2 linked regions of the Ovis aries genome follow. The main gene of each other region encodes a partner of the protein of the gene in region 2 in a complex. Links are inferred from orthologs where the notes say so. Each region holds a gene or a part of one and is shown on either strand. Other genes may lie near its edges.

The links. Proteins that work in one complex are often made in the same cells at the same time.
Region 1: UBTF (region 2) and POLR1H share a complex: the UniProt entries of both Homo sapiens proteins name them as parts of the pol I pre-initiation complex. The link is inferred for Ovis aries from reciprocal best matches to the Homo sapiens genes UBTF and POLR1H.

The regions. Positions count from the first base shown.
Region 1 is NC_056073.1:27,951,222-27,954,967, reverse strand, and holds the start of POLR1H (DNA-directed RNA polymerase I subunit RPA12), read left to right. Parts: upstream 1-945; 5' UTR 946-1,005; intron 1,006-1,202; 5' UTR 1,203-1,221; coding exon 1,222-1,357; intron 1,358-1,595; coding exon 1,596-1,696; intron 1,697-2,117; coding exon 2,118-2,279; 3' UTR 2,280-3,746. UniProt on the Homo sapiens protein: Core component of RNA polymerase I (Pol I), a DNA-dependent RNA polymerase which synthesizes ribosomal RNA precursors using the four ribonucleoside triphosphates as substrates. Can mediate Pol I proofreading of the nascent RNA transcript.
Region 2 is NC_056064.1:43,774,313-43,778,058, reverse strand, and holds the start of UBTF (nucleolar transcription factor 1), read left to right. Parts: upstream 1-1,369; 5' UTR 1,370-1,622; intron 1,623-2,204; exon of another isoform or gene 2,205-2,308; intron 2,309-2,498; exon of another isoform or gene 2,499-3,746. Other genes in the region: small nuclear ribonucleoprotein F-like, read right to left, coding at 1-18. UniProt on the Homo sapiens protein: Recognizes the ribosomal RNA gene promoter and activates transcription mediated by RNA polymerase I (Pol I) through cooperative interactions with the transcription factor SL1/TIF-IB complex.

The DNA.
Region 1 (3,746 bases), on a different chromosome or scaffold from region 2:
GTTCCACTACCTCCAAAGTCTTGAGCCCCTTCCTAAAGTGTCCTACTTCATCCCTGCTTCCTTTCGTTCCTAGTGACTAGGATTCCTCCTCCGCCTTCACCGTTTCCACTTCATGCCCGGTAAGAGGTCGACTCACCCCTTCCAAAGGCCCAGTTTAGTTCAGTCGCGTCCGACTCTTTGCGACCCCATGTACTGCAGCATGCCAGGCCTCCCTGTCCATCACCAACTCCCGGAGCTTGCTCAAACTCACGTCCATCGAGTGGGTGATGCCATCTAACCATCTCATCCTCTGTCCTCCCCTTCACCTCCTGCCTTCAATCTTTCCCAGCATCAGGGTCTTTTCAAATAAGTCAGTTCTTCGCATCAGATGGCCAGAGTATTGGAGTTTCAGCTTCAGCATCAGTCCTTCCAGTGAATATCCAGGACTGATTTCCTTTAGGCTTGACTGCTTTGATGTCCTTGCTGTCCAAGGAACTCTCAAGAGTCTTCTCCAATACCACGGTTCAAAAGCATCAATTCTTCGTCGCCAAGGGCCCAGCACTCGAGCCAGGCGGTGCTCTGCAGAGCGCCCTTGCTTGCATCGCGAGGTCCGAGGAGCGCTAGAACTGTAACTTCCAGAATGTTTCGCTTTGGTTTTTGTTTTTTTTAAAAGAACCAACTCAAAAAGAAAAAAAATAAAAATAAAAAAAAAAAAAGAACCAACTCAGGAACAGGGGAAGTTGTAGTTCCCAGAACTGGGTAGTGAGGGGAAAACAACCGGAGGCTCAGCTTCAATCACCTGCTTTCTTATCCAACATCACAAATCCAGCCTGAAAGTAGCGCTACAACCTTCCTTCAAAGGTTCCGCTCCCTCCGGGGATCAAGTTTGCGATTAATTATGACGTAACAGCCAATCGACAGGCCGGACGACAGGGCGCTCTAGCCCGCTTGCTCTCGCTAGTCCGCAGCGGCGTAGAGCCGGCGTTCTAGCTCGCGGAGTTGGCTTCCTCTTCTCGCCTGTCCCAGGTAAGCAAACCCCCAAGTCGAAGTACCGGACCCCGGTTTGGAATTCTGGATATGTGGGCTCCTTGGTCTTAGAGGCACAGGCATACGTGGGAGAAGGACTCGGGTTCTGTATGCTTAGGTCCAGGGACAGAATAGGAATGACCCTTCAGTGGGGAGGGAGCTACTCTCGTTTGTTAGCAATCTCCTCTTCTTCCCAGTCCTCGACCACCCTCCGTCATGGACCTCGCCGGCATCTGCTCCAGCTTTCAGTCGGACCTGGATTTCTGTCCAGATTGCGGCTCGGTCCTGCCTCTGCCCGGGGCTCAGGATGCGGTCGCCTGTACCCGCTGTGGCTTCTCCATCAATGTGCGAGGTAAGGGGCTTGTACGCAGCGACCCCGGCAGAGGGCCCAGCGTGAAAGGGTCAGTGGCTTGAGGACCTTAATATCGGTTGGATTGAAGAGGGGGACCCTGAAGCAGGAAATCAGGCACTTTTGGCCTTGGGTCGAAACCTGAAGGGAAGAATATAAGGCCTCCTGTCCTAACCGAGAGGGAGTTATGGGTGTCAGCACTCCTTACTGTCTCCACAACCAGTTCTTACTGTTTGCGCAGACTTTGAGGGGAAGGTTGTGAAAACCTCAGTTGTGTTTAACAAACTGGGGACAGCCATGCCTTTGTCGATGGAGGAAGGACCTGAGTTCCAGGGACCTGTGGTGAGTGAATGACATCCAGGACTGGCCCCATCAAAGGAGGGTGGGAAAGAAATGGAGGGGCGATTGCACAGATCTGGAGAGTTTTGTACCTAATTCCAAGAGGGAAGGGTGTGTGCTGTGCTGAGTCGTGTCTGACTCTTTGTGACCCCGTGGACTGTAGCCTGCCAGGCTCCTCTGTCCATGGAATTTTCCAGGTAAGAATACTGGAGCGGATTGCCATTTCCTCCTCCACGGGATCTTCCCGAGCCAGGGATGGAACCCGCGTCTCCAGCATTGGCAGGCGGATTCTTTACCACTGTGCCACGTGGGAAGTCCTTTAAGAGGGAAGAGGGGTCTTTAAAACATCAGAGTCTGGGGAGTGTGACAGCCTGATGTCTGTGACCGGAAAGGGAGATTATTAATCCCACCAGTTGCTTTCCAGGTTGACAGGCGCTGCTCTCGATGTGGGCACGAGGGAATGGCATACCACACCAGGCAGATGCGATCAGCCGATGAAGGGCAGACTGTCTTCTACACCTGTACCAACTGCAAGTGCGTATCCTTTTCCTCCTCTCTGCCCTTTCTCAATCTGTTTGCGACCTAAACAAATCCAGTGACTTACTTTTTGTACTGAATAAACAGTTGTGTTCTTTGGTCCGATCCCTCTCTTCTGTACAGTTGAAGTAATAGGGAAACTTGAGGTCGTTTTTTATTTTAGAAAATTACACTTTTCTTATCCTTTTTATACTCGGTGAATTAAACCTTTTAAGATATTTAAAAGGAAAGAAAAAAAATACAGAAAGCTAATGTTGCTTGATGATCTGGGTGTTACTGTTGCATCTTCCACTGTACTCAAGGTAGTTTTACTTCGATGAGAATTAGTCATGGGTGCTTTAAAGAACATGATTCTCTGAATAGTTTTGAGAACTCCCCTTTGTCTTTGGGGTTCTGTGGTTTCACTACAGTGTATCTGGATGTGGCTTTCTTTTGTTTATCATGTGTAGGATTTGCTGGGCTTTCTGAAAGTAAAGATTGATTTTTTTTTCTTTTCCGTCAACCTTGGAAAATTATCTGCCATGTCTCATTGAATATTGCCTTTACCTATGTTCTCACATTCTGGAGTTCTAATTAGTTGCTTATTAGACTTTACCCACTACTCCATTTCTCTCACCCTTTCATAATTTTCCATCTATTTTCTCTTTATATTGCTTCTGGGTAAATTCTTCTGGTCTTTCTTCCGCTTCACTAATTCTGTCTTCAGTTTATGTCAGTTATTGTTACTTAAAAAAATTTTTTTTTTTGAGTTCTGCTTATTTTTCAAGTCTCATTTTTAATAATTCATGATTCTTTAATCCTATATTATTTGTAATTCTTACATATATTTAAATATATTAAGCCTGATATTTATATTGTGTCTCCTAATTCTCATACCCACAGTTTTTGTGGATCTGATGCTGCCGTTATTCCTGCAGACTTTCTCATCGTGCTTTTTTTGTTGTATAATTTTTTAATATAAGCTCAGATTTTTTAGAATTTGGAAAACTATATTCTTAGCATGTGTGTTTCCTCTTCAGGTGCCTTGAAGCACTACCAAGCTGGAATGACTTTAAATAAATTCTCAGCTTCATGTGTTTTGTAGCAAATAGGTAGTATGGATTTGTGCTGCGAATCTAATGTAAGGCCAGCTTTTGGTTAGAAATTCTAGAGGGAAATTTTTTTCTCTCTCTACCTAGTGAGACTGTCAAATTCCTCTTCTGCAGAGTTGGATTATTTTTCTTGTTCACTTCTATACAGGTGTAGCCCTTTGGAGGTTTCAAACTTACTCTGAGTATCTCCTCTCAGACATTGTAGGCTTGTCTCTGGTTCACTCATGTGGCTCTCAAAACAGCAAGGGCACCAGTGTACCAGGGGCTTCAGTTTTAATGTACCTGTCTAGATTCCTGGTTTTGTATACTTTCACTCACTGTGAAGATTGCCTTTACTTTCTTGCCTTCTCATCAATGGATTAAAAATATAGTTAGAAATGCCTTTGGGGAGTATTTCTCAGTCAGGCTGAGAAATTGTTTAATTT
Region 2 (3,746 bases):
GTTGAGGGGCAAACTCATCGTGACTACCGCTGCAGTAGTGGGGAAATGCTGCAGGATACTCGCCGCCGATGCAATTGCCGAGCGACCCTCGGGACTGAAGTAACCACACAGCTGCTATTCTAATTTTATAGACAAGAAAACTGGGATCAGATGAAGTTAAGACATTTAACCAAACTCACACTGTTAAGGTGGGAAAGCCCAGAGGCTGGAAACCTGGGACTTCTGACTCCAAACCCTTTGATGTTTCGAAGTCAAAACAAGAAAGTCATTCCCTGCAGGTTCTAAGTTGGAGAAGGAAATGGCAACCCACTCCAGTATTCTTGCCTGGAGAATCCCAGAGTCGGAGGAGCCTGGTGGGCTGCCGTCTGTGGGGTCACGCAGAGTCGGACACGACTGAAGCGACTTAGCAGCAGCAGCAGCAGGTTCTAAGTACAGCGTGACATGGCTTGGTCCTTCACAAAATGCCCTCTGTAAGTTCCAAGGGCAGAACTGGGTTTGTGGGGAGGGGGAGGGGCGAGTAAAAAATAATACCAAATGATGAATCAAAAGTAAAGAGATAGCCTGCGATGAGGGCCCTGAAGCTTAAGCTTCACTAGCATCAAGGTAAATTGGCCCCGCCTACCCACTAAAAAATTCGGACACACCAGATCTTGACAAGATTTTCCTCCCGGTTTGTGAAACGTGGCAGATGTGGGCTGTGGAAGTCCTGGGAAAGGACTCTCAGTTCTCCCAGGGGACAAGATAAATTACAGCAACAGCGAGGCCGTGGTGTGGGGATGGAGAAGGCTGTGTGACAGGGGAAGAGTCCAAAGGGGCCGGCGGCCCAGCTGGCAGTGCCGCTGTGGTAGGCTGGCATCCCTAGAGCCGGGGGCGATGGCGCCGCCCCGGAGCGATGGCCCAAACCGTAGGCTCGCCTGATGGAAGCAAGCGTTCTTCAGACCGTCTTCTGGCTTCCTGCGTCCAGATGAACCTTTCTCGGTGGAGGAGAGGCAGAGACAGACAACCGCAGCCGACGGCAGTGGGAGGGTAGATGGTGGTCGCGCCTAGGCCTTTCTATCTCCGGCCCGCAGGATGGTGGAGAGCGGAGGCCTACGGGAAGGCTGCCCCGCTGGGGCTCTGGCGGCGAGGCCGGGGTGCCAGGCTCCCCTCGCGGCTCCCCGCCGCCGCCGGGGGGAGGAGGGGCAGGGGGAGCAGAGCCCGCGGCCTGCTTTCCCAGGGCTGGCCAAGCCTTTTTGACAAGCTGATAGCGTGCCGGGGATTGGCTGGTCCGGGCGTGACGCCGGTTAACAACAAAGGTGGAGTTGGAAGAAATTAGATTAAAGGAGGGGGGGGGGGGTTTGGAAATTAAAGGGGGAGCAGGCTGGAGACTGGAGGCAGAGACCGAAGGGGAGATGCGCGAAGCGCGGTCTCGCGGCTCCGCTTCGCCCCGGAATCCCCTTCGCCTAAACCCACCGGGATTTTTGCTCTCAACCGACTCCCGCGGCCCAGCTACCGAAGCAGGGGTGGGACGGATGGTTGCTGCTTCTTGAAAAATGCCCCCAACTCTCACCCTGACACCCCTTTACTATGGCCCAAGGGGAGAACTCTTTGCTCGGACTCCTCGGATCCTAAACTCGGAGGAGGTGAGGGGCATTGAGAATAGCGAGAGGTTCGCTCTAAAACCCGGAAGGCCCTCGCGGGGCACCGAGAACGGACGAGGCGGGGCACTCCCCCGGTTTTCCAATGTGTTGCAAACCTAAGAGCTTTTCTTGCTTGCTTTTTTTTTTTTTTTTTGGTAACACCCTTCCCCCCCTTTTCTCTCCCCCCCACCCTGCTTTGGCTCCAGGGTTGCAAAAGCAAAGAGCAATAAAAAAAAAAAAAAAAAAAGAAAGAAACCCGCGCATACACTCAGACACACACCAGTGGCGACAGGGGAGAGTTGGAAAGACGCAGGAGAGAAGCAGGAGGCAGCGGGGAGGGAGCAATGGGAGCGGGAAGCCGGCAGGTTCCCTCGCAAATCCCCCTCCGGCCCAACGTCGCCTCGCCGGCCCCGGCAGGGGAGCGAGGAGCCGGGCGAGCAGATGGAGGAGTGGAGCTCGCTCTAGGCAGCAGGCTTGGCCGGAGAATGGAGGAGCCGCCAAGCGATCGGCTGATTGGAAGAGAAACGCAGAGCGATGGAGGCGGGGGTAGGAGGACGATTTCTCTGCGGGGACTGGCGGCGGCGTATACGCCCGGGTCGGGCGCTGCAGAGCTTGGCTAGCTTTCAACCCGCGCTCGCCGGCTCCAGCCCCACGCGCCCCCACCCCCAGCCCTCCCGGCGGCTCCGCAGGTGAGTGCGAGCTGGGGGCAAAAAGACTCGAAAGTCTCAACACGCCCGCCCTGCCAAAAGGAGGAAAAAAAAAGAAAAGCATTTTTCCTTTTCTTTTTTTTTATTTTCGTGCAGCCCCCAGCACGGTGGGAGGGAAGGGGTGAGGCTGAGTCGCCCGGAGGAGGCGGAGGGGCCAGGCGAGGCCGGGGTGGCCCGGGAGGCGGCGGCGCCGAGGCGGCTCTGACGGGCTAGCGCTCGGAGCGGCGCTGCGCTGCGCCGAGGCGGGCGGGCGGGCGGGCGGAGCGGGGCGGGCGGAGCGCGGCGCGTGGGGCTCGCCATTAGCCGTCGCTCCGCTTCGCCATCTCGGGCTTTGTCTGGCGGCTTGCTGCCCCGGCGTCGGCTGCGGCGGAGCTGCGGCTCAGCTCTTCGGCCCGCCGCACCCTTAAGGCGCCCTTGGCCCGTGCTCCCATTCACACGCTCGGTAAGTGAGCCCCGGCGCCGCGGATTTCGGGGGAGAGGGGTTTCTACGAGTGGCGGCGGCGCCGATCTCCATGCGCCCGGGCAGGCCTGGGGAGCCATGCCGGGCTGGATTGAACCAGCTCCCACAGAGGCTCCTCCGCCGACTCGTAGCTTTATCGCCGCTTGTGGGATTTAAAGAGCAAAGAAGATTTTTTTTTTCTGTTTTAATTTGCAAAGAGGACATTTTTTAGGGATTTTTTTTTTTTTCAAGTTTCGTGTGTGTGCTGCTTAGCAGCGAGGCAGGCTCCGAAGCCTGGCACGGCGATTGGCTTGCGTGCGCCCCAAGCCGGTGGCTACGCTCCGGGGATAAGGGTGGGCGCGAAATGCCCGCTCCGGGAGGCGGGCGAGTGAGCGGGTGAGGGCTGGAGTGGAAGCCCGAATCTGAGCTGGGGGAGAGAGCTCTGGAGCTGGGCTGCAAACACCCCCGGAGCCTCTCCAGCTGCCGGGGGGCCCTCCGGCACCCTCTCTGCGGTCGCGCCTCGCGCCCTCCCTCCTGCGCCGGCCGAGCCTGCTAGTTCCCCCGCGGGTCTGGCGAGGTCGCTCTCGGCGCCCGCCCGCCTCGGCTCCGAGCCCCGCCGCCATCCGGGCGGCTGCGTGTCTCCCTGCCCCGACCCCCCCCCCCCCTCCCCGGCGGCAGCAGCAGCCGCCGCCGCCGCCACCACCACCACCACCACCAGCACTACCCCCCTCCCCTCCTTCCTTCCCTCCGCCTCGGCCGCCCGGGTCCCCCCAGCTCCCGCCCCTCCTCCCAGCTGCCCCCCGCGGAGCCCGCCCGGGCAGGCTGTGGGAGGGAGCGGAGCCGGCGAGGCGGGCGGGCTGGCGCTCGCTCCCCGGGGGTCGGTGTGCGCTCTACGGGGAAGGACGCGCTCGCTGCCCCGCTTCTCCCGCCCCCCCTCCCGCTCCTCCTCCTCCCTTCTCCCTCCTCCTCCCCGCTCCGGCG